Linked DNA regions of Lepisosteus oculatus. The protein of the gene in region 4 interacts with the protein of the main gene of each other region in a pairwise test. Links are inferred from orthologs where the notes say so. Each region holds a gene or a part of one and is shown on either strand. Other genes may lie near its edges.

What was found.
Region 1: the proteins of ahcyl1 (region 4) and cdkn2c interact in binary tests that used the Homo sapiens proteins (3 or more experiments, as listed by UniProt). The two-hybrid records come from large-scale screens. The link is inferred for Lepisosteus oculatus from reciprocal best matches to the Homo sapiens genes AHCYL1 and CDKN2C.
Region 2: the proteins of ahcyl1 (region 4) and slc23a1 interact in binary tests that used the Homo sapiens proteins (3 or more experiments, as listed by UniProt). The two-hybrid records come from large-scale screens. The link is inferred for Lepisosteus oculatus from reciprocal best matches to the Homo sapiens genes AHCYL1 and SLC23A1.
Region 3: the proteins of ahcyl1 (region 4) and gem interact in binary tests that used the Homo sapiens proteins (3 or more experiments, as listed by UniProt). The two-hybrid records come from large-scale screens. The link is inferred for Lepisosteus oculatus from reciprocal best matches to the Homo sapiens genes AHCYL1 and GEM.

Annotation. Positions count from the first base shown.
Region 1 is NC_090704.1:27,412,865-27,419,903, forward strand, and holds the start of cdkn2c (cyclin-dependent kinase 4 inhibitor C), read left to right. Parts: upstream 1-4,027; 5' UTR 4,028-5,713; coding exon 5,714-5,845; intron 5,846-7,039. Other genes in the region: faf1 (FAS-associated factor 1), read right to left, coding at 1-51. UniProt on the Homo sapiens protein: Interacts strongly with CDK6, weakly with CDK4. Inhibits cell growth and proliferation with a correlated dependence on endogenous retinoblastoma protein RB.
Region 2 is NC_090706.1:41,167,774-41,175,090, forward strand, and holds the start of slc23a1 (solute carrier family 23 member 1), read left to right. Parts: upstream 1-4,316; 5' UTR 4,317-4,403; coding exon 4,404-4,436; intron 4,437-5,628; coding exon 5,629-5,748; intron 5,749-6,272; coding exon 6,273-6,430; intron 6,431-6,569; coding exon 6,570-6,658; intron 6,659-7,317.
Region 3 is NC_090705.1:7,493,793-7,501,642, forward strand, and holds the start of gem (GTP-binding protein GEM), read right to left. Parts: upstream 3,021-7,850; 5' UTR 2,884-3,020; intron 2,387-2,883; 5' UTR 2,383-2,386; coding exon 2,052-2,382; intron 1,803-2,051; coding exon 1,726-1,802; intron 1,421-1,725; coding exon 1,216-1,420; intron 569-1,215; coding exon 291-568; 3' UTR 1-290. UniProt on the Homo sapiens protein: Could be a regulatory protein, possibly participating in receptor-mediated signal transduction at the plasma membrane. Has guanine nucleotide-binding activity but undetectable intrinsic GTPase activity.
Region 4 is NC_090700.1:39,788,042-39,795,914, reverse strand, and holds the start of ahcyl1 (S-adenosylhomocysteine hydrolase-like protein 1), read left to right. Parts: upstream 1-4,859; 5' UTR 4,860-5,657; coding exon 5,658-5,831; intron 5,832-7,873. UniProt on the Homo sapiens protein: Multifaceted cellular regulator which coordinates several essential cellular functions including regulation of epithelial HCO3(-) and fluid secretion, mRNA processing and DNA replication.

The DNA.
Region 1 (7,039 bases), on a different chromosome or scaffold from region 4:
GTCAGCCAGAATCATCTCTCTGTCCATGTTGCTACCGCTATCGGAGGCCATTGCAGTGACTGGCTATCTCTCTCTAGTGAAAGCAGGAGGGGAGAGGGGAGGGGGCTAAGGTTTCATATAAAAATGCCGTCGGAAATACACAAAAACTACCCGAGCCCACCCGGGGAACGGGACTACGCAGGTAGGGAAGGTGAAAACGGCGGCGTTATCCCGCAGTTTCGTTGGTATTCCGGATCTTTTTTTTGTGGGTTTCAGCCTCTGATGAACCAACACTTTTCCTTTTTTATGTGCTCACAGGCACCTCTCCAGTTGCTTTACGGCAGAAGAAAAAACGTCGCACGGCTAAACGAAAAAATGCTTTTCGGCAGCGTTGATGGAAAGTTTTTAAAGAGATAGTGTGCTTTTTAAATCCAATATGAAAACATTGTAACGCAAGGATATTGTCGCGTTATGTGATAATTTCGTTGGAGTGTCTTGGTGCAGTTGTTTACAAGGCTGAGGAATAATAATACTGCGAAACAAAAAATAAAGGCACACAAAGCCTATATCACACAAGGTTTGACGTCACTCTTTGGGGAGAGAGGGTATTAACACTTTTAAATTAAAATAAAAAAAATTAAAAACAAGTTGAGTTTCGCAGTAATTAGGCAGTTACTATCTCTGCCATATCAGACTCTCTTTACACGGTGAACTTGTGCATGAGGTGCGATTGGTTAAAATGTTATATATAGAAAATAAATATTATTGGATTCGAAAGAGGAGAAACACTCATACAGTACTCTCCACCGAGTTGGAATGTGGCCACGTCAGATATGAAGTGCACTCAGTTAACAGCGCAAAACTCTACACAAGTTCAAAATTAGGTGATCCCAATAATAACAATGTGCTGTTTAATATAGGTTCAGAGCTTTATGAACCAGTAGATCCGCAATCACCGGATGTTCCACATTCCTTGCACTGTTTGTTAAAACAAAATGAACGACATTTTTTTCCTAATGACGTTTTCGTCATGTACAGTACTTAGAGTAAGACCGTCATACAGTAGAATTATGCACAGGTGTTTTTCAAGCATGTAAGGAAGGAATGTGTGTTTTTGACTGATAAACATATTGTGTGTGTAGACAATCACCTGTCAAGGCCAGAGTCAGGGCTATTTACTGCAAAACATGCCTTGTTTTGGAAAACTTACTACTGACAATTCAAATGTTCTGGGAAAGCCTCTTCTCCTCTCAGGGCCAAAATAGTTAAGCAAAGCTGATTGTTGGTGGACCACTAGGTGGCAGTCTGCTGAGAGAAGAAAGTTCTCCTGTGCGAGATATATACCACATTGAAATCCTGTGTAGTGGCCTGCCCAGCTCACTCCAGATGGCTGTCAAGCTGATGTGCCAGGGAGACTGCGCGCTGGTTGATCCCTGTTGTCCACATCACAAGCGTCCGTGCCAATCACTGCAGCCCGCCTGACATTTCAGGAACTCTTACGAGGCCGAGTTATGGAAGTTGATGCAAGAACAGCACTGAAACTCATATTCAATGAATCATCATCTTGATTTTATATTGGCGAAAAATACATTGTTTATCACCATGAAATAAATAGCATCTGCTTTCATGAAATGGAAAACAAAGTCCTGTCAGATACCAGTCATTAAGGATCCCCAGGCATACCCGTTCCCTGGAAATCTTCCATTTTGGCTTATTCAGTCTGGCCTGTACTTAAATGTTATGTTCAATCAGCAAAGAAATGTAATCACTTCTCTTCCCTACTTGCAGTGTAGTGAACTGCTGGCACAGAACCACTGCTGTATTCCACCCCTGAGGGTGCTGCACTTCAGTGGTGGATGAAGTCAGTCCCTAATTACATGTGAAGAACTTTATGATTATTTGAGATAAAATAAGTTATATATGAGGTGTCATTATTATTCCCTCCTTTTGTAACGATTATATTAAATTTTCATGGTAAAACATAAATGTCTGTGCTATAAATCATCAAAAGGATGTAGCTGTTCAGAGAGCCCCATGGAGAGAATGTCTCCCTTCTCCATAACATTGTAACAAAGGTAATTTTCCTTGTTCACATTTTCGTAGGGCTCAATCCCAACTCATGCTTTCTTCTTGTACTTCTGTGTGTGTGTGTGTTTACAATATCCATCCATATTGTAAAAAGCCTCTGCTTATTTGTGAACTTGCTTATATTCCCATTCAAGAGGGCCTTATCAACCTCTTCAACCCCAGCTTACACTGTGCATTTTACTGAGTAACTTGCCTTGCTCAAGATTTTAACAGAGGTGCCCTACCTTGGACCTGAATCCACAGCTACCCAGTTATAAACCCAGAGCCCTAACCACTACGCCTTCCTTGCCAATAAGGAGAATGACCTAAGTGCCCTGTCTCTGCCTTCCTTGCCAATAAGGAGAATGACCTAAGTGCCCTGTCTCACTTATGACCCACACAGTTGTCTGGGATCCCGATTGTTAAATGTATAGTATACTGTTTAATTTCTGAAATCTGTCATCATGACGTCGTCACTGTGCCACTAATTTACCCTGACTACATGTCATGAGAAACTTGCTGTACACAGTCAAGTTAACTGTTATTGTCTCAATTAGAGGATACATTGTGTAAATCTCACTACAAGACCTCCTTCTTTATGTAGTACAATCATTTTCATTTCTAATCACAATCGACAGAGCACACGTTTTGGTGCGAAAGTACAGCATATGTTTCACAAGGCGGCACTCGCTATTTATAAAAACTGAAGAAAATATTTCCATTCATTTTCAGAGACAGAGGGCGCAGCGCTGCTTGAGTACACACCAGGCAGGCGCTCACGACAGACTGCTGCTCTGCCACAATGTCCAGTTTTTATCTGCTATACGTGCTCTGCATGACTGCTGTTTTTGCTTGTCTTGTTTGGTTGTCGTCTGCTGTAGCCTTTGAAACTCGCATGTTGGACATACAAGGGTGGAGGCGGCCCAGGGGCAAGAAGGACTTGCAGACCTGATTGCGTTAATTGCATTTCTTGGGAGCGCACCGTTCAGCCAACACACTGTACGCTGTTACGGGGTTTTCGTGTTCAGTTTGGTTAATGTTAAACATCTGTGGGAGCAGAACACCATTCATATTTAAAGTGCATAAAATAAAAAAGGCTCGTTTGCGTATAACCTTTTTGAAAAGGCATATAGCAAATGAGATTAGATGTAGCGTGGCGAGTTAATTATATAGCTCAGCACTGTCACTATGGAGAAAAACGAACGCTTGATTCCAGCATAATGCTGATAGCAAGTATATATGTTTCGCTGTGTAAATGTATTATCATCTTTATCTTGAGATGCCAAATTACCACAAAGTAACAGAAATTTTAAAAATAATCACTATCGTTTCAGTGAGATATGAATGCGAATCGTTTTCATAATTCCAGTCTTACACGGTCTGTGGCGTCGTTTATTTTCGTTCTTTTTTCCATTTGGTTCCCAACAGCTATTGGCCAAACGTACCAGTTGATAAGCCTTGTAGAAATTGAAAGCTGCGTTATTAGCAAGGTAGATAATTCGACCTGGGAAAAAGACTGACACATAATGGTAAAACAGTTTCGCAAGCGTTCAAGTCGAAGACGCAGACTTCGCAAGGGTCTTGGCTATGATTTTCAGGTTACCGATACTTTTAAAATACCGGTAATACAGAGTTTAAAGGACAAAACATCAGAATGTAAATGACTCTCTTGATAAAAGTCCTGTATACGATGTTTCTTGGTCCGTGTATAACGAAAAGCTAAAAACCTGAAGGTGCAAATGAAATATGTGACTTTTTGATCTCTACAGAGGTGGAATTTGGGTACGGTTTTCGTCTAATTCAAAATCCTGTCCCAGTGGCTTTGGTCAGAGAGTAAGGCAAGCTAGGTTTCTCGCCCCTGCCCCCTCCCGTAGAAGCCGGAGCGACGACAGAGCGGTCCAGTCCCAGCTCGCCTCCCCCTGCTCTTTCAGAAGCGACTGTATCTGTCAGCCCCGCCTCTGATCTGTTCGTTAGCTGTGTGGGCGGAAGAGTCGGAGGAGCTCCCTCTTTTCAAAAATGAGTGATGTCAATGAACAGCAACAAACCACTTTTTCAAAAAAAAATCACTCGTGTTAAAAAAAAAAAACTACGCAAAAAGGTGGGGTTGGCAAATGGAACTGCGATGAGGTCGGGGAGGGGGGAGAGCAACAGAAATTTATTGCAAATATTATCAGTGTTGAAATAATGCTTTTAAGGTTATGGCAAGCGGATCAGCGTTAATGCGAGTGAGGTCCTTGATACGACACAAAGGCAGGAAGGTACTAGGTTTCTGTAACAAATCACTACAGAGAGATGGCTTTACAATCAAATTTTAAAAAGCGAAAAGGAAGGGCCGAGATGGAGGAATACAATACCGTACCTGTTTTGTGAAGATACTGTACTGCATTGCCGCGATATCGTGGTGTTGCCTTTTTTAACCGAAATAAACAACCTCTCATCAATAATGAAGAAAGCAGGACGCATTTGAGCAACCCTTATTTCTACAGTTACAAAAATGGGCGGGAAGTTTGCACAAAACTTTGAAAACACAGCCTTTAAGATGTCATTGGATACAGCTACTCGTTAAACAGAAACAGACCTATTTTTCCCCATTTTTGTTTTCAGTCCAGAATTGCATTAAGACTGGCTTTGAAACGTACTTACTGTTTGCAAAAGGACCGGTTTAACTAAAACCATGCTCTTTTATGATCGGATATGCTGTGTGGACGGCCGCTGGCGATGTGACTACCTGTATTTTTAAACTGATCGCTTTTGGGATACAGTAACCGAAATATGGGTTGCACCTGTATGACAGCGTTTGCCTATTTGGATTTGTGAAAGGCAAATACCATTTTTGAGGGCGATTCAAGGAACTTACCTTAAATGCCAAGCGCGCTTTTCAAACAGAAAACGGTTTGTGAAATGAGTTAAATGTAGCTCACTTCATGACTGTTGCTCAGAAGCCGGGACTTTTTTTAATCATCTCTGAACCCGACCAATACGTTGGTGGGCACAAAAACATTTTAAATCTTTCGACACCAACTAGCTAATTTTGCATTTTTTTCGACCTCTGCGCATCCCGGTTGCAAACGCGTGGTGACAGGTTTGAATCTTTTATCTGTCACCTTGGTGTTTTTCTCCGTAGAAGAAAAAGCGATTCCTGGATTTCAAATACGGATAAGCTAAGAGGAGTCTTTCCAGCAGCCGGGTTTTCTGAAGAAACCACTACAGGAGATGTCAAGTATCTGGGGTCTAGGGTCTATAATAATTTATTTTAAGCAGTAACAGTGCGCGGAGTCATCGGCAGAAAATCCGGGTACGAAGGGATTTCTCCTAAACCCGACCAAGACCGAGCGTCTCCGAGGGCATTAATGATGGATTTGTTTTCTGAGCGATGCTCAGTGAAAAAATATAGATCTGTGTTCCTCGTTCTGGAATGGCTGGACATCCCGATTTTTCGAACTGATGTAAAAATGAAGTGGATTGTGTTTGTGGGATGGTGTTAAAAAGGGAGGCGGACCCTGGCCGAAGCCCAGTTTCTTTTACTGTTCAATATTTACTACAACCTTTTTGGTGGCTCGCGTCACTATAGGTTTACCATAAAAAAGAAGCAGAGCGTACTGTTACAAATAACACCCAACTTTTTTTCCCAAGAAAATATTTTTCAAATATTTTATTTCCATAAAGAATGGCTGGTTCTTCAGAAGCAAACAGGCTTGCCAGTGCATCTGCAAGGGGCGATTTAACTGAAGTTGAAATGTTATTACAAACGGGGGCAAATGTAAATGAAAGGAATGAGTTTGGCAGGACTGCCTTGCAGGTTGGTATTGCGTTTCTTCAGACAAAATTGCACATTTTAGTTAAAAAAAGAAGCGGTAATTTTGCTGTGGGACTCGGTCCATAGGATGCACCGTTGTACAGATGTTTGACACCCTTAGCAAAAGGTAGCTTCGTGACGTATCTGAAAAATGAATGATTATTTTATGGCATAAATACCCTTTTCTCTGTTCCAGATGAAGTCAATTAAGATGTTTTTAATTGTCTTTAGAAAACAATATTATCAGTCTGCTGAAAAGATAGTGGAGGTTATACTTAACGTGGGACGTTGTTTTCTTCTTCGTTCGTGGTTAGCTGCTCCATCCGAGTCCGGTTTTCCAGCCCTGGGCATTTCGAAATCCGCGAAAATCACTAACGTCAAATACTCGCATTTTGCATCATCGCATATCATTCTTTTACTAATTCGGCTTCTTTTACGGTCTCGTTGTGTTCATAGTCTGTTGTTCATAAAAGAAAGACAGATTACGTTAGTAAGAATATGTTTTAAAAGGCTAGCCTTTGGGAATCTCGGCGTGTATGTAAAACTATAGAAAATTCGTCGCAAAATAGTGTCTCGGTAACTGCCCATATAAAAAAAAAGGAGGCAGTATACTCATCTGACCTTAACTGCAGATACACACAAACCTACAGTATATTATTACATCTCTCATCATGTAGCTCATATATATGTAAAGTATAATGTTCGACCTTCATTGAGATATTGATTAGAATAAGCAGCCTTGCTAATTGTTCATTTATGTGCAGTACCTCGATCCACGGACTGATACCTTACAGTAAAAATAACCCGTTCTGTACAGCACATACTTTACGGCTTGGCCTAAGTTGAATATGTATTTATATCTTTATAATTAATAATGTGAGAACTTCTATTCCATATTACGATAACAAGTAGAATTAATTCACTTTAAAAAATAAGAGTACAACCTCCTTATTTCTGCAATCTGGAATGGAAACCTGACCCCCGGTTTCTGAGGGGAGCTGAATTTTTAAAAATACATATTTATCAATAATTTTAGTTTCAAGTAAAGGCCATAACTACAGTCAGTAGTGTGAAATATCGCTTGATAGACTAGAAGACAATAATTATTTCTATGAATAAGCAGAATGCATTTATCTCCTATCTTGATTGGATATCAGTTTGGAACTATGACAGGTTTTTTAACCCGTGGGAGGTATG
Region 2 (7,317 bases), on a different chromosome or scaffold from region 4:
TCTGGACGTGGCCCCCTGACAAAGTGCTTCCACACGTCCTCTCCCAGCCCTTCCCAGCGGCAGCTCTCCGCTCTGCTGCCCGAGCGCCTGACTCACACTTGTCTTCAGAGGAGCGTGCTGTCTCGGTACTGCCGGGCCGCGACCCGCCTGCGCGCACGGCGCCAGACGGCCACCCCAGAAACACCCCTGACCCCTGCGCTGGCTGTGGGGTCACGCTGGGCCTCTCGGTTTCACTGCAGTGCTTCTGGAGCAGCCCGTCAGCGTCACTACTCTGTTTACCCAGAATGGGTTGACATGATTATTATTATAACAGAGGCATATGTTTTAAGCCTGCTGTAGTCAAAATAATGTTAAGGGACAAGCAATTTAAGTTTTTTCAAAACACCTTTTTTCCGTTTCAGCTTCTGACGCTGCTGAACTCAGCTGTGCGGTATTTCAAGGAGACAGAGTAGTTTAATGACAAGAACACACAGTGCTTAAGACCTTGGGCTTATATTCTGTGACCCAGGGAGAATAAGTTATTGGGGGTCAACTGTGCCAAGGTTCTTCTTTAATGAGGAGGAGAAAATCGTGATTTAAAATTGTGTTCTCTCCAATTTTAAATCATGAGGTGTTATCCAGTGTGCAGCTCTTTACTGAAACCCTAAACTGCTATTGGAAGCTTAAACTTAAATCATAGTTAAATCCACAACCAACTTGATACAAAATACCTTGAAGAAACCCATTTGTAGCACCTCTGCCAGCCAGGGCTTGTACAGTCCACATCACTAGTCCTGCCCAGTTGTGCCATGTGATCAAGAACCTGGTCTGGAAGATGCTGGACCCGAGGACAGCCCTGCTTCGATTCTTCTGCATTCCAGTTTAGCATGGAATTTAAAGGCGTGGGTCACTGGTACATCCCTCCATCCACTTTCCAATCCACTCATCCGATACGAGGCCTCTGGGAGAGCCGGAGCCTAACCTGGCAAAGTACGGGCGCGAGGCAGGATATACCCTGGACAGGACGCCAGTCCATCGCAGCTGCTGCTGGAGCACAAAAGCCATAATTGGACAGGTAATGGGGGCTGATAATCCTGATGGCAGTGTAAGTGGTGCACAGAAAGAAAATTCCACACCATCGCAACCTCATTATGAGTTTTGATGGTGTCAGCTGAGTCTGGCTGAATAGAGAACGGTTTGCCTGGTCAGTGATGCAGTGATGCTTTTTCCTGCATGCAGACCTGTATGTGTGTGCGGTTGTGAGTCCAGTAGGACGAGTAGCACAGAGGACTGGCGGAGGTGGGGGGAAGTGATATTTGGGCGAGTTAGTCACTGCACACCAAATGTCCGGTGTACCTCCTGGAGGACAGTAGTGTTGTTTGTTGTCCTCGTGATGTCTTGAGGGGACAACGTACATGGGGAGGTTCCTCTCTCCTGTGTAAGCATGTCTCTTTCCCTCTAGTAGTTGCCTTTTTCTGTAACATTCTCTGTGCCCTTTTAACTAAAGAAAGATTGACGTTGATAAGGAGAGGCGTTTGGAGGTTATGGGAGACCGAATTTTGCTGTAACATGCAAGTCTTATTCCAGAGGAGGAGACACTTGGAATAGACGCTGAGGTGCATTAATAATGCAACAGTTATGTATTGGTGTCAAAACTCGGTTTAGTGGTCAAAATTAAGGGGACACTGCAGTACAACAGAAAAACACAAAAAGGGAGGATCAGTGCAAACAATTTATATAGAAAATTATTGGCCTTTCTCAAAAGGAAATGTGACAGAGGGCATGCATTGTTTCACCCATATATTGCTCTGTGTGCTGGGGCATCTGAGCTTCCTCTCCTGCATGGTGGCAGTGTCCATTCGGCCAGGAGTCCTACTAACTAACTAACGTTTACTAATATATTTGGGTTTCTGTTAAGAATGTGCTGACCTAGAGAATGGAATTTGTGTCACTTCCTGATGTTTACTGTGTGGGACTGAGACCTCACTGTCTGGAAATCTGCTGTGTCCTGTATTTCGAATGACTGGACTGTTAACTAACTTAACTGCACTGCCCAAGACCCAGAGACGGTTCTTCCTGTGAAGCTTTAGAGCCTGTAAGAGTTTAAGAGTTACATCTGGTGGACCCAGATGAAGCTTCCAAGTTTGATATTCAGCAGGAAAGTAGTTTTCTTCCCATATCACACAAGCCCACACAGTTTCGATGTCTGTTGTCAGATTCTCAGACCTGTCACAGTGGAATTCTTTCATTTGTGCGATCTGCACCCAAAACTGACTGACAGCTTTCCCATTCACACCCAGACTCGCCGTATTTCTGGGCAAATATTTAGAAAGGAAGTATCCACAGCAGTGTGGAGCAGACAGTATTACTCTGGCCTGGTAACTAGGAGGACCACTGCTGTTGTAACCTGCTCAGATCCTGTCAGAACGCCGCTGTGTGTATTTCAGGTAGTCTGCTCCCACAGAGATGTTACTTTATTTTAGGATTTGTACCACAAGCAGTCCTCGCTTCTTTATGTGCTTCTGAATATCCATAGGTGTAGGTATATAAAAATAATAAAGCAACTTTCTCAACACGGGGATGCTATACATGGTGATAAAGTAAAAGACAAAAATACAATCAAAGGTAAATGAAAAACATTACACAAGAAAACAGAAAAAAAGTAGGGCCTCAGTCAATCAAACACAAGCCCTCATAAAAAAAAGTGAGTTTTAAGTTTGGGTTCTGGGAGGGTGAAATAACTTGTCTCTCATAGAGTTGGAGAAAGAGCATTTCAAAACGCTGGAAGTACGACAGAGAGGGCACAGTCGCCAGGAGTCTGAGAGTTAGTCCTGCGTACAGTGAGCAGAGCCGACAGGAGGGAGCGTGAACATGGAGGGGCTCCGAGGTGTGTGATGGAGCCAGATTGTTCAGAGGCTTGAAAGTCGGCTACATAATCTTGTATTGAACATGTGACTTTAAAGGCAGCAAGTGAAGAGATTTAAGAGTAGGAGTAAGATGTTACAGAGTTTTGCACATTATTGCATCTTACTGAGAAGAGTGTTGGGGAGCCCACAGAGTAAAAAGGTGCACAAATCAAGCATTGATGTTATGAATGTGTGAATTATCTACAGTACCTATACTGTAGGAATGTCATGAAAATACATCGTGTGTAGATCACTTAGTTACTTAACCTCCTTCGGTGTTTAGGAACTGAAAACACAGAACCTACCTGAAACCTGGTGAGATTCTCGAGTTGAGCGCTCAGGTGGACCAAGCGCCAGCAGGTGTGGGAGTCCCCTGGTTGAGAGGGTTGTTGTAAAATGACTGGCTGTGATCTGCACAGTCTGGATAGTCGCAGGGTATAATGCACATAGACTAAAGAAATAAGTTTGCAATGAGCTGCTTCCATGCCGGGCGAAGCAGACACAAGCCTCAGGTATCCCAGAGGAGGTGGAAGAGCTGGTCATTGGTGGGTATTTGGCTCCCCCATGTGTTTGATATGTGTATTAAACTTTATTCCTGTTCATGCACTGCAAAGCTATAGGGCAGCTCAGTCTGCACGCCGTCCTGGGTCCTGGTAAGGTTACAGACCGGGCTGCCTTCTGTGCAGAGTTTGCATGTTGTCCCTGCATCTGCACGGGTGGTATCAGGGTGTTCTGGTTTTCTCCCTCCCCTGGGTGCGCTTGCTAGTTGATTGTGACCCTGGTGTGTGTGTGTCTGCCCTGTGATGGTCTGGCGTCTCGGCCAGGGTGCCTCTGCTGTGAACTCCGCCAGCGCTGCACACAGCAGCAGCAGTGAAACCCAGGGGCGTCTATAGCTGGAGTCTGTGCCAGTCCTGATCCTGGTGATCAGTAGCCTCTCCTCTGCTGTAGTCCTGATCAAGCTGGTCATACGGCATGTGCAGCCGGAGCAGTTTCCAGAAAACTCCACTGTGGAACAGATGAACCAGGACAGAAGTATCTGACGCGGAGGGAAAAGAAGGTGAGCTTGTTATTTTGGTATTCCAAAACTACTTCAGACTTTCTGTATTAAGTATAGAAACATGAGCCTTTACTATGGTACAGCCTTATTACTATGGTGCCGGTGCCTGAGCCAGCCCAGCTTGAAGATGTGCTGCAGGAAGGTTCTGGACTGTTTCGAACTGTGGGGGTCGGCTCCCTTTGTCCTGGGATCCATGAAGCCCTGGAATCCGGGGTTTACCGACACCTTCGCGTGAAAGAGCTGTCAGTAAGCAGTTTCTTAACCCACGGTATCATCATTGAGGTTATTGTTTCACCCTCTGATTAGAGATGTGGGTAAAGTCCCTCAGCTCGCGGAGATGATTAACTGGCTTAGTCTTTTCTTTCCTGAAGTGGAAATGCTCTCTTTGCTCAGTGTCACTTTCCACCACACAGCTGTAACCTCAGCTCTCTCCTTCCCAGCACTTCCCAGCCGCGGACAGAATGGAGAACCGGGGCGCGGACGAGGATCCCAAGGTAACTGATATGCCCAATCCGTGAACGTAGCAGGAGCAGATTCGACCTGGGTCTCTTTCCACGTGTGCCGAGAATCAATACAGGGAAACTGATCGACCAGCAGCAGAATCTTTCTGTTTTGCCTTGGGTGTGCAGTTTCCAGCTTGTGCAACATCTCAGCACCATGAGTTTCAGGACAGGAAAGTCTGCACGTGCAGCTGTGACTGCTTGACATTTGCTAACAGCATTTTTTTAGGTTAGTGGGACCAAAATTTATATAAAACCTCTTTTATATAATACCTTCCTGCCTTAAAGGGTGTTTCTTTATTTTAGGCTGATACATTGAACTGTAAAAATAATAGAGCATGGTACAAACAACATATGAGATTCTAACTAATGTTTTGTATAGGTGTATTTATTGGAGCATAGCTTCCATCACATCTGATATCACAATGAAACATTCAGTTGAAGATGAGGGTTCACACAAAGAGACTTTGAAAGAAGGGCTGTTTAAAGTGGTAGGGAGTGGATTGACTGTTTAATTAAGCTGCTCCCAACCCATTGCTCAATAGCTGGCAGACCTCCTGGCCTAAAAGCATCAGGATCACCAGGCTGGAGCTGTGCTGAGTCCCTCTCACGTGGAGCTCTTATCAGGGCAGAGTTACACATGTAGCTGTTTTTACTGCAAGTCTCCTCCTCTGATCACTCTTGCTGGGGCCGTCTGGCCCCAGGTGCTGGTCCCTGCCTTGGCTATCAGCCCCTGCTTCTCTCCTCCCTCTGCCCTGATGGGAGAGGCTGAGTGAGCACGACTCCTCTCTTGGCCTTCTCTGGCCTGCCTGGACACACGTTGCTCCAGATCCCTTTATCTGGTCCTCCCAAGACAGTCCGGGTGTCGTGCAAGTGCTCAGAGAGCCTGTGGGGATGGAAAGAGCTGTGGAAATGGAAGGAAATCCGATGAGTTATTAGTGATTAATCACACATGTGTGAAGACTGTACGGCATGACCTTGCAATCCACCCAGAACAGATTCCCGGATGTTGACGCAGAGTAGGGAACGTCTGAGATTATAGACACTCGACACTTTCCAGTGATCTCACCTGTGGCTGCACCTTGCCGCCAGGCTGCCCTACATCTCTGGTCTCTGGTGCAGCTAATTCAAGCGGTGACTGAAGGGAAGCAGTGCCCTCTCACGCCGGTGTGCCATTCCTCTCCAGGGAGACGTGCCTGTGCAGAACGAGAAGCACCAGCAGCCTCGGGCGGGCCAGGGCTTTGACATGATCTACAGGATCGAGGACGTGCCCCCCTGGTACCTCTGCATCTTCCTGGGACTGCAGGTGGAACACACCGTCTGCCTGGATGGGTGGAGGGACAGACAGACTAGTCTCACAGGCAGGCGATTAGACAGACAGCGAGAGAGAGGAGTTTATTTGCCATACGGACATGTGATTTGGGACTTCGATTCACACTTTCCTCTCTGGATAGACGACACTTTCACACAATGTGCACAGCACATGAGAAAGCAGTAAATGATAATAACACATTATGACAGTACAGCAAACGCATACAAGGGGAAGTACAGAGTAATAAATACACAGGACAGTCATTCTATAGACAGACTGATTGCAGATCTCCAGAGATCCCTGGAACTGTAAAAGCACCAGGGATCTTCACCACCCCTGTCCAGAACTATCAGAACTCTCCTTTCACAGCTTTAGACTCCAGAGCACAGCTTTCTTTACCTTTCTCTGAGGCCAAGCAAACAGCACCTGACTGTCCCAGACAGGAGGTAAATAAATGGGCTGGATGCCTGTCTTGCTCTGGCTTGGCTGCGTCTCTGACCCTGCGCTGATCTTCACAGCACTACCTGACGTGCTTCAGCGGCACGATCGCCGTGCCCTTCCTGCTGGCCGAGTCCCTGTGCGTGGGGAAGGACCAGTACACGGTCAGCCAGCTGGTCGGGACCATCTTCACCTGCGTGGGAATCACCACCCTCATCCAGACCACCTTCGGGGTCAGGTAGGCGGACAGAGGGACGCGCCTGCTTTCCACGTTGAGCAGTCCAGTTCTTCAGGGAACTGGTGTCATGGCTCTGTGGTGCTCTGTGTCCGTGTCTATGTTTGCTGATGAACTCTCTCGAGTCCCCTTCTCTTCACAGGCTCCCACTCTTTCAGGCCAGCGCCTTCGCCTTCCTCATCCCAGCGAGAGCCATGCTGGCTCTCGACAAGTGGAAGTGTCCTCCTGAAGGTACAGCCTGTCTCCGCGGGGCCGGTGCTGAGGTCTGGCCTGCAGGGTGTATTCCAGCGTCAGTGGTCCTTGCATGTTGCCCCTCCCCCCCACCAGAGGGCGCCAAATATTCATCATCAAGGCCTGATTAATTTAACACCTCACAACTGAAGAAGGCTCCACGGCCGAAATGTTGTGTTTTCTTTCTTCTTTTTTCAGCATGGAATAAACCTATTACTTGTTCCTCTGCAGCCTATGCAGGCTGATGCAGCTACCTTCCTGAGTAATTTTATATACTGTATGTAGTCCACAAGGATAGTAAACTGCTTCACCTGTGTGTGTAATAGCAGTATCAATCAATTGCAATCCTCACAAAGGCTTGTTTGATATGAGCTGGTGTCACAGAGTCAGGGAGAGATCAGGAGATGCTTTGTTTTTTTTTGGCTTGGCGCAAATCCACTTTAGTAAATTCTGGATATTTTGACCACAGCTGTATCTGTAGTAGAGTTAATCTGCAGCGATATTCTGAGCCATACAACAAAGCTCAGGAACTCCCGGAACGTGCCCTTTCAGTTTCTAGCAGGAGGAGTAAATTCCTTTTTGCTGCAATATATCACAGTCAAATGCGTGCCGAGGCTGGGCGTGTCTGGTCCTCTCTTTGTGACCTGTGCTGTGTTTCA
Region 3 (7,850 bases), on a different chromosome or scaffold from region 4:
ATTACTCTAATGCTGTAGTTATTTTCATTTTAATTTTAATAAAGAAAACAGACCAGGAGGACTCTCTGCAGCCCTCTAGAGTCAGTCTCTCTATTACCTGTTACTCAATACCCTCTTGTACGTGAACGAATATCTCCAAGCAATTCTTCCATCTGTTACAGACAGAGGAACAGGAGCGGTAGATCAGAGCTGATCTGTCACACCCTCTGTTCTGGAGTTTTGTAACGCAATCTAATGTAGATTGACTTGTGACTTATAAAGTCCTTGAGATGGAAAGCCCGCCAGTGGGTTTATAACACTGAAAGATCGTGGCAAGACTTGGATTTCAGCCTGTAAGCCATGTTCTTATTGTTCTTAGCCACCATTCTGTCCAGGAATCTCTTGGCTTTCCTGGGAAGACTCTCCCTCCTCTTATTGCGAGCCATCCGCCTCTCGTTGGCCTCCTTACTGTCCCTCCTAAGCCGAACCTGTCGCACGATCCCTTCGAACATCTCTCGGACATTGTGCTGCACTGCCGCCGAAGTCTCGATGAACTTACAGTCGAATACTACTGCGCAGGCTCTGCCCTCTGCAAAAAAATATCCAAGTAAATGTAAGTGTCACCTTCAACAAGAATAAAACAGAACCAAACACTTTCAACTCCTGATATAACTATTAGGTATGAGATGCAGGTTATGATTTATGTACAGCTTTAGGTACAGTAATTATACTGTCTTAATCATTCATTATCAGTTCTCTGCAGCACAGAACCAAATTACCTATTGCTTAGTGTTCTGTTGAATAATTACATTTCAAAGTTATCTTCTTATTTAGCCAGATTTTAATTATTAAAATGTGTATGCAGGCATATGGCACCAGTATGTGACATTTCCATACAGAGAATACATAGAGATTTCAGTTTTTACTCTTATGGGACTCCTAAAGACTATTATTGATCTGTTTTTTTTTTTGCAAAAGCTAGTTTGGGTGCAAATCTCATTTCTCCTCTCCGCCACAAGCGCTCACCGTCGAAAACAAAATAAAACCTCTGCGTTAAGTTTGGGTCTCGTTCTGTCATATTGCTCCATAAATTTATCGTATGACGTTATTTTATCATCTTACGGCATCAGAGGTATTTATTAAAGTTCACAGGGTCTTGCTGTGATTACACGCTCCTTCTAAAAAAACATCAACCCCCTTTAGGGGATTTCAAAATGTTACAGGGAGAGACCTTACCTGCCACTGAGACCTCTCTGCACCGCACAAGGTCGCTCTTGTTGCCCACTAAAATGATGGGGATGTCTTCCATCTGCCTCGCTCTGCGCAGCTGGATTCGCAGCTCAGAAGCTCTCTCGAAGCTGGAGCGGTCGGTAATTGAGTACACGATGAGGTACGCGTCTCCCACCTGCATGCACTGTTCCTGACTCCAGCTGCCCCTGTCCTGCAGAAGCACAGCACAGACGTTCAGAAACAGCAAGACTCCGAGCGATCAGAAAACATGGATTTAATGGTTTGTTTTTAAAGTTTTAAAATGGCCAAAACTGAAGCTTTCGCTTTCGCATACTACTCTTGTAAAAACGATACAAAGGAAAATAACTCATTTATGCATGATAAAATAGACGGTATATAAAATGGGCAAGATGCAAATAACAATGCTTAAAAAAAACACCTGCACATCACACAGTGAAAATAGCATGGGTAGGATATATCGTATTTTATGTTATATGCTATGCTTTATTATCTTACCTGAGTGTCCCAGGTGTCCAATAAAATGATTGTCGCACATTCGCCGTCCACTGTCAGCGTTTGTTCATATGTGTCTTCTATAAATAACAAAAAGACGTTAAAACGGTTTACGTGGGTCCGTGCGTTCAAGTTATACGAATAAAGCTGTAAAATATTTAATCTCCTTCACACACAAAAAATATGTCAAAAATAAAATAATAGGGTGTTGTTCACATATAAGATCGACTGGCTTGTTTAAAACGAACGTGAATAATTTAATAACCCCGCACCCGTTTAAAGATACAAGCCCCATTGCACGGGAAAACAACGCTGATAAAAACAATGACCTCCGCTCAGGTCGCAGTCGCTGTCCATGCTGTCCTGGGCGCCCGTGAAAATGCCGGCGAGCGCCGACTTCCCGACTCCGTCCTCGCCGATGAGCACCACTCTGAACAGGCTGGCGCAGGAGTCGGTGGAGATGACCGAGTCCGAGGAGTCCGACGACCAGCTGCCCCTGCACGACTCGCCGGCGCTGGTGTAGGACTTGGAGCGGCAGACGCCGGATTGAAGCGCCGAGCTCTTGCTGAGGAGATGCTTGCCGTCGGTGGAGATACTCCAGCGGTGCTGCTGGGGCTGCAGACAGCCACTGCTGTGTCTCATGGTTACGTGAAGGGTCATCTTTCTGAAGCACGGGGGGAAAGCAACGGAATTACAAAAATATGGAATAAAAGAGTTTCTTAATGCATTTTTTCCCGTAAAAAAAAAAGATGTAATGTCTTTGAAAAAATAACACTCCACATTGTTGATCACTGAATTTACCTTCTACAGCCATGTCATCTCTTTGCAACTTTAAATCTTAAAAACAAGGAGACGTGCACGCACCCCTCAGAAGCCTTGATTTTTATTAATTAAAAATGTATCAAAATTACTCACTGTTAGAGAATAACAATAAGAATGTCTATAAAACAAAAAATAACCATGATCGCTGCAATAAAAACGTATAATTAAAACTGTGTCTAAGCTGTAAGATTTCCCAAATACAAAGTTCTTTAAGCATCTAAACCCGGTTATTAACTCGAAGATGCAATACAAAATACTGGAACAAAACATGCAGAATAGAATAATAATTGCATTGTAGTTTCCTTTACTTTTTTCCCCCAAAATAAAAACATATCTTACATTATCCAGTTAGGAGCAGCGCAAACTCCAGAACCACTTGATTGTTCGACGGTGTTTCTGCCTGGGTTTCGTGATCTGTGCGCTGGGCTGTAAATCCCAGTAGATTCTCTGCTTCCCACTAATGTGCTTTCAGCTCTTTGGGTTTATATATAGTAGTAGGGGTCAAAGACGAGGGCTTTTCCGTGACGTCATTCTCCCTTCGCTTACCAGCCAGACAACAGTGAAACAAAGACGGAGAGGGTTTCCTCTAGTCTTGTGGATGAACTTGGAATTTCGCCTAGAACATACTGTTGCTGTTACTTGAAAGGGTGGCTACGATACGACAAACGTCTATCGCTCGAAAGCACGACGACATTCCATTATCTATGGAATTTTTTTTTAGATTCACATTCGGATTGGCCCAAATAAATATCCATTCCCAGTGCTTGTCGCTGTAGGCCATACATAAATCCGAGCTAGAATACCACTGACAAAACACTCATTTTCATGCAGAAATAGAAGTAGCTTTAGTGCTAATAAGCTGTAAGACAATCTTATAGAGTTTGTCACATATGTGTCACAGGATGAAGAACAGGACAATATTTCCTAACACTGAGCCATAATATCACATCACCAGATTTATTTACTCAACTCCAGTACCTGGAAACAGGGCAGTTAGGATTTGGAAGTTCAAGGCAAAAGATCCCAGGATAAAGTATGAGATGCAATTTACGACTAAATAACCGCATGTGTTATTGACAGGTTTAGGCAATTATACGGTCCTAACCATTCATCCATCCATCTGTTTCTACCTCTTCAATCCAGAGTCACTAGAAAATGTATTAACTGCTGGACTATTCGTTTCTAACGTGTAATTCCACAGCCCCTAAACTAAAGTGTGACCAAATTAATTATATACTGACTTAACTTCTCTTAAGTTATGCACGCCATGTTAATGTAGCACTCTCGGGGTTAACGTGGGTATGCGCCCTCGCCGCTGCCGCCTCGGGTCAGCCCCCCACCGCTGGGGACTCGAACCCGGGCCGCCGGCATGACTCAACAGGGACCCAGGCAGTTGAGGCAAAGGGAAATCTCCCCTCAGCCCGACAGCTGCGGTCCCTGCTTTTCACAGGGAAGGGTGGTAACGTCACCGCGCTGGTAAGCCGGTCTCGCACGACCTGCAATGTCGGCCGTATGCGTTACACTAACTTAACTACCACCCAGCCATCCATCCTACTTCGGATCGCTTTATCCAAGACAGGGTTGTAGGGGGAGTCAGCGCCTATCCCAGAAGCATCCGGGAAAGCACAAGGCAAACAGTGGTGGTCGTGGGAGATTCTATTCTCCTACAGTGCAGAAACACTGCAAGAGAGATACGTACCTTACATGTACAGGAGCTGGGGACTCTGAAGGAGCAAGGGACTATACCCTGTGATTATCTTCGTCCAACGAGCAGACAGAACGAGCAGGTGCAGACCCAGTGACTGCAGCTCCTGGGGAGGATGTTGAAAAATGTACCTATCAAAGTAAACGTAAGCATTTAGGTTGACACATTGCTTTCCATTAGCCAGTGTGCGGAAGCAATACAAAGGACGTACAGAAGACACATAGGGTATATAGTTCAATCAAGGAATGCCATGTTAAAATGGAACAATTAGCAAGACCTTGTACGAAGATCTTGTACAAGTTTGGCCACCGTGTTTTAAAAAAGCCATTGCTTATGTGGAATCAGTCTGAAGTACAGATCTACAGTATCTTACACTCACAAGCTGAAAGAACTGAATATATTTTGTGTCAAATTTATTTTGTGAGAGAAGTCCATCAGGCTTTATTTCTATTTATACGAACATTTCTTGTATTGTTGGTAGAGACAAATAATAGTTGTATGTAAGGTTTTGTCAATGCATTTTTTTGGTAAAATGTGATCATGTTTATCATATTGGTTTTATTTTTAGTTTGCCTTTTTTAAATATAACTTGGTAAAGGTGTGACTTCAGTTACCCCGAGTCTCTTTTTTCAAACACAAGGATGGCAAGAGAAAAATGTCTTCGTCTTTATCATTTTTAAAAATACACAATGTGCCTGAAATTACATTTTAAAAATGACTAAATGATTTAGAATATATTTCTTTTGATGTATTTTACTTTTGTTGTCCCATAATGACATAATGTTTTAAGATTTTTCATTTAGCCAGTGTGCCAATTACTTAATCACAAATACCTCACTGCAAAGGGGTTGGTCATCTTTGGCTATTTCTGTCTGGAACCATAATCAAGAGATCACTCTAGAGTAAGCTGGTTATATTAAGGTCCTTAAATGTTAATTAAGGTGATTAGTTTGAGATTGAGTTGAATAAGACATGTATTAAAAGACTTTCTAAATAGATGATACATTAAGCTATTTCCACTAGCGGGTAGGTCACTTTGGGTTATGCTGAATCTGGTCCAAAAAACATCTTAACCTGGAGGTCAGTTCATTATTTTGTTAACAGTTGCATGCTGTCAAACGGGGAGAAATGTTTAGATTAAGAACAATGAATTGTGTTTCAACAGTATTCATGACAGTTCTCTTTTAAATTATCTAGTATGTTTTGAAACAACAGATCTAGTGTTTTTTACCTCCATCTTGCTGAAAAGCAGTTTTTGAAATTATTTTTTGGGAATTTGTCAGCTGTCACTGTACATTTTGGGGTTGAAGGTACAAGGATAAACTCTGAAGTGTCTGCATGGCTGAAACTATACTCGTGACAAAACATACAGATGTCATCCAGAAATGGAAGACTTTTCTGAATAATGTGCATTAAAATAAAAACAAATATGAAAGGAAATATGAAAGGAATGAAAGTAAAATTAACAACTCACCACTGGCTACTACATAGACTGACAGATCATCGTTTACGTTGCTTTATTAACATTCATTTAAGCTGCTAGTGTAAGTGGCTTTTCATTGGAAAACATGACCAGCAATGAATTATTGAAAATGGAATATGGGATATCATAGATTAAATGAGAGTAATACCCAGCCGAATCATTTATTGTATCCTAACAAACAGCCACACCCAGGGGAGAGCTCATCGATTGCTGTGGACAAATGAACTGCAATTAACACTTGCCTCTCTTTGAAGCTTCTTAGCGAAAGGTGATACAAGTTAAAAAAGCGAATGCATTTTTCAAACGCTGTCAAGAGAAAATAAAATCCATGCATGCTGTCAGAATGCATTCAGCACCTCGTGTGGCACAAGCTTCAGCCTATTTCCTGGCACTGATAAATCAGATTAAACCGGCGGAGACTTTTAAAATAGGCCATGGCTGGAGGCCACAGCTGAAATAAGAGACAATTCGAATATGAGGAAACCTATAAGCTACCGTAGCACCAAGGTGGAGGTATGGAAAAGGTGCTGTGCTTCAGAAAGGAAATTGTAACCAGTGCTTCCATTAAAAGAAAAAAAAAATACAGGTTTAGTTTAACTACAAAAACCAATGCAAAATTATAAAAAAACACCTTTTTTTCCTAGTGGGGAACAAGACAGTGAAAAAATTCACATAATTTCAAGCTCATCTCAGTTATTCCCCACCTTAAATTTGAATTTTGTGTAGCATGCGAGCCTTAGCCAAGTGTCTGCCCAGCGTGGATCGTATCCCCAGAATCAACACTACAGTCTCTGAATGAAATACACCATGTACTGCATACATACTGTACACTACACCAACTGCTGCCAACCAGCTGTTATGATACTAGATTTTATAATAAATATTTTCCTGTACTTAATCGGTTTTTGAAATTGCAGCCCTAAAACTACTACAGTATGTTCCTGCAGCACAGTGAAAGGAGATCTGTGAAATGACAGGTGATGTCTCAACTCCGCAGACTATCGATTTGCGGTTATCTTATTTCAGTCACTTTTACAGTGGTCTCTCCCCCAGAGAAAATATATCAAGGTTTCCATTAGGCTACCATTCTCCACAATGGACAGTAAATTCAGGTGCAGTCAGAGAAGTTGAAGACCTTGGCAATTAAATAGTATTGTGTCAGTAGGACCGCGATGGGAATCTATGAGTCTTTAAGTAGGTCTAAGGATGGGGGTTGTGTAGGTTTTCTTCCTTACTGTTAAGTGGATTGTTATTGTTAATTGTGGAAATTGAAACTGAAGAATCACTTTTGGCATCTTCGGTACTATTTTATATGCATAAACATGTTATATACTACAACAACCGGGACCTGAACTGTTATAGCGTGTAAGCCCTGTAACATCGTATTTTAACAAAAAAGACAAATGAACCCAAATGTTTATTTGCCATTGAAATATCTGTGAAAAAACATATTTAAATGGTTTTAACAAGTCTCTGGAGAGCCATATTTGAAAGATATTACAGATGGCTGCTTTCTATTAGATAATATTCTATCATATTTTTTACCCGTTAGAGATACAGTAGGCACTCACAGAGGTGACCCATCCTGAGGCTCAGTCTTTTAGACGAATGTGTTAAGCATTTGACACATTTGTTTAGAAGTGGTATTTTAATAGACAGGCCAGCTCTTTTTATGTACCAAAACCAATATCACAATGTGTTGCTAGCGAAAGTCTGAAAGAAGAACTTCAATTGAAAAATCACACTTTTGTTCCACCAATGGTCTCAGTTGTGAGCATTACTGTAGAGCTTTTTCTACGATTTGGATGAGCAATTATTATAGTACCAGTTTATTTCCCTTCAAATGGGAAATAAAGTCTTGCTTCATTACAGTGTTTTTCCCACTACACAACAAACATGACAAACAGACATGCTTTCAGTTAACAAAACAAACAAAACAAAACAAAAATAATTTTCCCCTTCTATGTGAGGACCCGAGCAGTCTGCTAAAGTGGTATTGCAGAACATGAGACACAGAGTAGTTCTAGATATAGAGTAATGCATTTGGCTGGTTTATGTTTTCTGTGTGGCCTTTAAGCCTTATTTTGCTTTCAAGATGGCTTAGCTAGAGACAAAGAG
Region 4 (7,873 bases):
CTTCTGTTGTGAGGTTTTGACTTTCTAGACCAGACGCAGGCGTCAGGGCTTGGAATTGAGTATGGCGATAATCTCGTCGCTGTCTCTAGAGTCGGCAAATTCCCGTTCAAATGACAGCTAGTTTGCAAAGGTCTCTCATATGAGGACTTTGTCTTTAGCTAAAGAAAAGCTGCATGAGCTAATTTTCACTTGTTGCTTGGTTCCTGTGCCTGCTTTTAGATTGTTGAGTAGTTTTACGAGTTACTCTGAAGTTAATATTTTACTGCAAAACACTATGAGGACAACAAAACGCAAGATTCAAATTCCGCCTGAAATATTGTATTTAAAATAGCTTCGTGAAGGTGCCCCCCCCATACAGACGGCACAAACGCTTAAACCCACCTTATTCGTTAGTGTTACGTTTGTGCCGGTTTGTGCCGTTGAAAGTAGCGTTTGTGCTGCTTTCGTTCCCGAGGTATAGCGCCTTGTTCGTCCTGTGATCGCGTGACCATGCACGATGACTTTGACCTCCAGTGACTCCGTCTGCCGAGTTCAAGCGCTCTGATAGAGTTTAGCTCGTACCCTTAACATTCAATATCCATAAACATATAAGTCTCCTTAGATGTGAATAATACGAAGACATGACGCATGCCAACAAGTAACCATCTATGACATAAACCTGTGGTTGTAATGTACGTAAAATCACCGTGATTGCAAGATCTATGGTTTTTATTTTGTAAGGCACATTTTCCTTTTCTTTCCCTATCGTGACACACTGTTGCCAAACGCGTAACTGTGTTTGATACCATCGTGACAAGACCTCCGCAGCACGTCATGATAGGGACCCCATATATATCGCATATATATCGCGGCGCGGCAGTGTATATCACGGCTGGCGCCTTGCTTCCATGCCACCCTGGCACCGCTGTCACAACAAAGGTCTCATATCAGGACATGATATACCCAGATAGGACGTGTCGCGAGATATAATGATCATAGACTTTACATTTCTATTCATTTTTGAAGTACAAAGCAGAAGGTGTTTCCCCCTACCTTAAATATACGATTAAAATTGTCCCAATATCATGTATTCATTACAGAAAGCAGCATCGACAGTTATATCGCAAATAAAAAAAAAATATTTATTTAGAAGAGTACGTGACATTGTGAATCAATAAAGAAGTTAAAAAATAAGCCGATGTAGTTATTTTGTAAATAAGTAAAGCATTTTAAAAATAGATTCTCATTGACAGTAAACAAGCGATCCACCTGGCGCTGCTAGCTCGAACAGACCCGTATTTGGCTAAATCCCCGAACAGCTCGGGCCGCGATTGGATGAAGAGTCAGAATTCTGACACTCTGATTGGGTAAAGAGTCACAGCGGAAGTTCCGAGAACATGTAGAGACATGGGCGATGGATGTTCTTCTTGGTAAAAATACTGTAGCCCCGGTTAATCGTGTGTGCTGTATGAGCACGCTGGATATACAGTAGCACATCCATTGGTTTCCAATTACTAATCAATCAAGAGAAGTCGCACTGAGGTAAAAACTGAATAGCAGACAACGAATGTCATGGCATCCGCAGCGCGTTCACGACTCCGATAGCAGGTCACGATAAGAGTGACATCGCGATACCCATTGCGACTGGCGTATCACTGTCATGGCGCCACTGTTGCCACATTAAGTCCATATATCGCGATATAACATACCGCGACAAAACGACCCCGCCCCCATGTCGCGACATGAAGCCCGCATATCGCGATATGATATACCCCGGCAAAAATGCGCAGCCGCCATATCACGACATGAAGCCTGCATGACATACCCTGGCAAAAATGCCCCGCCCCCATGTCGCGACATGAAGCCCGCATATCGCGATATGACATACCCCGGCGAAAATGCCCCGCCCTCATGTCGCGACATGAAGCCCGCATATCGCGATATGACATACCCCGGCAAAAATGCCACGCCCTCATGTCGCGACATGAAGCCTGCATATCGCGATATGACATACCCCGGCAAAAATACCCCCCCCCATGTCGCGACATGGAGTTCATATATGGTGATATGTAAAAAAATTATTATTATTATTATCATTATTATTAAAAAACCTGCCATGCCCATGTTGTGACATGAAGCCCATATATCGCGATATGACATACCGTGACAAAATGCACCACCCCCATGTCGCGACATGGAGTCCATATGTTGCGATGGGATATACCCTGACAGGATTGCTGACCCCCTGTCTATATCGCGACATATCTTATCTGGGTATATCATGTCCTGATATGAGACCTTTGTTGCGACAGCGGTGCCAGGGTGGCATGGAAGCAAGGCACCAGTCGTGATATACACTGCCGTGCCGCGATATACATGCGATATACATGGGGTCCCTATCATGACGTGCTGCGGAGGTCTTGTCGCGATGGTATCAAACACAGTTACGCGTTTGGCAACAGTGTGTCACGATAGGAAAAGAAAAGGAAAATGTGCCTTACAAAATAAAAACCATAGATCTTGCAATCACGGTGATTTTACGTACATTACAACCACAGGTTTATGTCATAGATGGTTACTTGTTGGCATGCGTCATGTCTTCGTATTATTCACATCTAAGGAGACTTATATGTTTATGGATATTGATTGTTATTAAAATGTTAAGGGTACTAGCAAAACTGTAAAAGAGCGCTTGAACTCGGCAAACGGGGTCACTGGAGGTCAAAGTCACCGTGCATGGTCACGTGATCACCGGAAACCCAAGGCGCTATATGTCGGGAACGAAAGCAGGAAACGTAGCACTAACGAATGAGACCGGTTTGGTTTCCATACGACATTGAAGGGGTGCTGAGTGACGTCACGACCCCCAAACAAACAAGGTGCTATATCTCGGAAACAAAAGCAGCACAAACGCTACTTTTAACGCCACAAACGTAGCACTAACGAATGAGGTGGGTTTCATCATTTCTGCTGTCTCTAGGGGGGGCAACTTCCCGGAGCTTTTACCTTGTCTTTAAATATTGAGCGGACTTGAGCATAACATACCAGAAGAACGTGCACACACGTTTCAGAGGTTGGAGTAAATGCATCCGAGGGTAATATCGAGCGAGGAGCCATGAGAAGAAAAACTGCGAAGCTATTAAAATATTAAGTTCTGAAGATCTTGTTTGATCCTTCATGATGCTTTTAAACTTGTATGAAACCCACATTAGTATTCTATTTTCGATGCCAAAAGACAGCTAATTTGGATATTCGTGACTTCCCACAAGACTTAACACCGAATTGTTATAGTCGCATTACAGTGCTAACCAATTAATCGTACCTTTAATTGCAAGAAAGGTCTGCTAATAAAAGCGTCAAATACATACTTTATATGTATTTTAGCTATGTAAACGTCGTTCACGTAAAAATACTGCAGGGCATTTAGAGGTGATCCGAATAGTTATCTGTAAAATGCACAATCGCATCCATCCGTCAATATTTTCTTAATGTTAGGCATTCATTCCAAAACTTATCATTTGTTTACAGGAGAAATTTTAAAACCTCTCCGTGCTTAACTCCTACAGGTCGAGCATGTATCGAGCTGCTACAAGCAAACGCGTGCTCTTGCGTTCCAGAAACACTTGTATTCGGGAAGCCAGGCTGTTCTCCCTAAAACCCAAGATGCCTGTAGCATCTCATGTGTCTTTATTTGTTTCGGGACTGGTCTGGTCATCTACAGGCGGCTTTTTGAAAAACCTAAATATATGCATTTGTTTTGCCATGTTGGCTAATAAATAGAAACCTAGCGCTAGATAGTCTGGTCGTCTGACGACAGCGATAGACAATTAGGTTACGGCTACACATGCACCGCCGCACTACATTTACATAATTTTCTTATTGGTCACAAAAGATAAAGCGAGCCAATAGCAAATCACATACGATGAAAAAAAATCAAACACGTAACATTAAAAAGCAAATCATGGAACACAAACAAGGGGGTGGGGGGGGATCTTAAATTACTTTGGACTGATTGGGTAGGGCTAGGATCATTCAAGCCCACCCGTGGCTACGCCCCTGCCCCGAAGTCGCTGACTCAGGTGCGTGCTTAGCGGTGGTTCAGATAATTCGGTTTCGGTTCGCTAAGTGGCGCCGCGGTGTTTTTAATTTCAGGAACAGCTGCGCAACGAGGCTGAGAAAATACCGGTAAATGGGATACTGGGTTTGTGGTGAAGGAGCTCTGCACTTACACTCTCTCAGAACCGACTTCTTATACAATGACACAAACAGATCCCTACCCAAACCAAAGGGTTTGTAAAATTGTGATTACCAGTTGGTTAAAATTGACAGCGGAATTCGCTGTGTTCCCATGACAATTGTTTATAATCAATTGGCTACCAATCTTAATATGACAAAAAAATACGTCAAATGCAGATATACCAAGTTTAGTGTTAAAACACGTTGGGAAAAAAACATTTTTGGAACTGAGGATAAAATCATCTTTATACAGCGCCTTTAAAAGTAGCTTTATAGTGACAAAGGAGACAAAATTATCACAAATAAAAACAAAGGATTGGAATGTAGTAGATACAAGGAACAGGCAGACACCAATAAAATAAACTATTTCTGAAGGCTGAAAAAAACTTTTATGATCTTATGTTCAAAACCATACACTTCAAACAGTTTCACAGGAAAAGCGTTTTTTTTTTCAGATACAAATATGATACAAAAAAAACTAAGCAATCACCGCGTCTCATTCGTTTAATTTTGTAGACGCTGCTTAAGATAAAGCAGTTACACGTTCGATTGACTTTCATGTGCAGATTTGTATCCTGAAGAAATGCAGACAGATTCTGTTGTCCATTTGCAAACTCATAATGTTTTTAATGATCCTAGCTGATCGTTACGAATAGTGTGCACCTTTATTAAAGTTGAATTCTGGCTCAATGAAGTACTGCTTTTGTGAAACAGAGGCTATCCATCTTTAGCTTGCTGCTTTTAAATTGATAAGGAATTGCATGGGTTTAACGGATTGTTGTACCCTTCCTATACATATATAAACGCAAAGTAAGGTACGCTTTTAAGTATCATTGTAGGAAGGTGCACTTTTTATTTTAAAAAACAATGTAAAATCGCAATGTCTCGCATACCGCAGTCGTCTTTGCTTTAATTTTTAAGTTCAAGGAGCATTGCATGGTTCTGCAACTGACGCCATTACAGCTCTGGCGCTGGAGTGTCACGAAGTCTTGCTAAGGCGCCGTGTGAGCCACAATGGCGAAACAACGGTCGCAGTTTCCTAGCCGGCACCAGCTTCTGTGAACCGGTGTTAACAGCCCCAGCGCCTCCCATACTCCCCGCCCGCGCGACGCGACTCGACTCGAGTCTCTCTTCCAGCCCTCCTCGCGCGCCGCCCGCAGCCGGTTGGTGTTGCGTAGCTGCGCGTCGGAGGAAAGGCAAAGTCAAGGCTGCAGTGACGACAGCAGTAATTATTAAAAAAAAAGACCAAAAATCACACAAGTGCATTTACATCCTTCCACAATTACAAGAACGTATGCGCTTTTGCGGTAGTAGAGCCGGACCGCCTCTCCTGCCCGCAGAGAAGAGGTGTCAGTTCCGAAGGCAGTAATCTGAGCCTCAGCAGAGACAGACCTGGCGCTACTCTTCACTGTAGTACAGTAGTAAGATCCAACTAGCGTACAATGTCGGACTCCGCGGGCGACGGGAAGTTGGAGATGAAGCAGGCCAGCAAAGAAGTGAAAGAGAGCGAGAATGTGGCGGAGAAATACTCGGCGATGACCGTGGGCAAGACCAGCGACATGGGCGACCTGTCCTCCGCCTTCAGCGCCGTCACCTCGCACAAACCTGTCAAAAAGGTGAGACCCGTCTGTGCTCCGTGTTCCCCCCGGGAGTGGGGGCTGGATTAAAAACGGGGTTCACGCATGTAGCTGCAGCTGTAGTTGCAGCCGGTGACGCCGGAGTTGTGAGCCCGCAGTCCCGGACAAACGCGTGCGGTCTGTCTGTCCTGTGCGACTCGGCTGGATCTCTGTTGCTCTTGTTAATGACATCAAAGACGAGGACCTAACTCGACATGTTTTATTTATTTTGTAGTGTTACAACAGCCACAGTAGAAGGCACCGTTCTGCCAGTAATAAGGATAAGCACTTTTGTGTGAGCCAGAGTACATGCGTCGTGTAGTATCATGATAACAGGTAAAGCGCATTGATTAGTTGAGATCGCGAAGTCAGCCCGCAGTGTCATTTCTATCGATTGCTGTAGTTCACCCGGCGGTGGGTTTCGCGATTAGTCGTTTCTTTAGCCTTGCCTGCTTAGTACCCAGTGAAAGGGAAACATGTTCTTTATTTACGTACTTAAATTGGTTGCCTGTAGATGACAGATGAATTTGACAGGAAATAATTCGCGGGCCTCTTCCTATATATGGCGTATAACCGCTAGAGACATTGACATTACTGTTTTGAAACGTGTTGGCCGGGCTGTGCCGAGAAAGGAGTTCGTTGGCTGAATTAGTTCTTTAAGAATCTCAGTAGGGATCATACCTAATTGTGTGGCATTACCAGCTGACATTTCAGAATTTAAGAGGTTCACACGTTCTTAATACCCCCCCCCCCCCCAAAAAAAAAAAAAAACGCAGCGAAAAACACTCAGTAAGATGTAATTATACAAAGTGTAGTGTATAGTTTTTGGTCTTCTATTCTGCTGGTAGGCAGCTTTCTTTGAAGGTGGTACTATGACATGCCTCTGTAACACTCTCGGGTGTGTAATTAAACTCAGTTAAAGTGCTTGTAATCAGACAGGCCAAATTAGGGCTTGCCACAGATGCACACTTCATGCCCACGTTTTCAGTGTGAACCTGTTTCCGTCAAGAACAATTACACAGGGTGGTTATTTAGCCCCAGGCCTGTTCACACGCATCTGCATCTATTTCAGAATTGATTCTTTGTAATGCCACTGACATGGATCTCCTGCCGAGCACCTGCGGTATGTGAAATACATGAGGCAGTGTTGTCGTCCGGACTGGTCTGAGGATCTCTGGATGGGAATTGCCCAGTGCTGTGGATGGTTGGAAGGGCGTCAGTTCTCTCGCCAGCGCTGTGTGTGGCCTGTGAGCCGCAGTGCCACGATCTGCAGGAGCCCCGGTGGTTTCTGTGCGTGCCCTGTCTGCAACGGGGCCAGGCCTGCTTTAGTCACTGGTTCCTTGTATCATTGTTTGGAAGAACAATGATGTAACGTCATGGCAGGCGAAACCACAAATTGAATAGCTTACTTTTTGTGAATAAAGTTCTTTAATTACTGTTTTTGATCATTGGATTTGGTCAACGTAATAAAAGAGTCTTGTGGCGGGTGTGTTGCGTGTCTCAACAGAGACCGGCGCGGTCTGGGTGGCATGAAGGCAGGCTGCGATTTTCTGCCCTGTCACGGGGCATTGAAACGAGCCCTCCTGTGGGCCGTGTGCTGGGCTGTGCCCTGCAGAGCCTTGCGGAAGTCTGCTGCCGTCACGCTGTCCGGAGTGTTGAGTTTGTTGGGTGAAGAGGGTGAGGTCTGTGGCGCTGCTTGTGTGTTCGTGTGTGTGTGGTTCCAAAGGTCAAGGGTATGTGCTGAACGCTCACGGTGTTTCCTTTGGATTTAAACGGCCCGCAGGGAGTTTGACTGCTCCTCCAGCGAGTTGAGAGTGTCAGAATCATTGTGCATTCTAGCTGTGACTGGATGTGACTTTTAAATGTTTCGGCACGTCTTTCTTGAGGAGTGGGGAGATTGCTAGCTGTGGCTTCGCTCTTCATTGATCCGCCTGTAGGCCTCGTGTTTGTACAGTGTTGAACGCAGGAGCTGGTGTGCAGTTTCACTGGTAGCTGAGACAGAAAGTCCAAGAGGACAGAGTTAATGAGCTTCCCCCATCGCT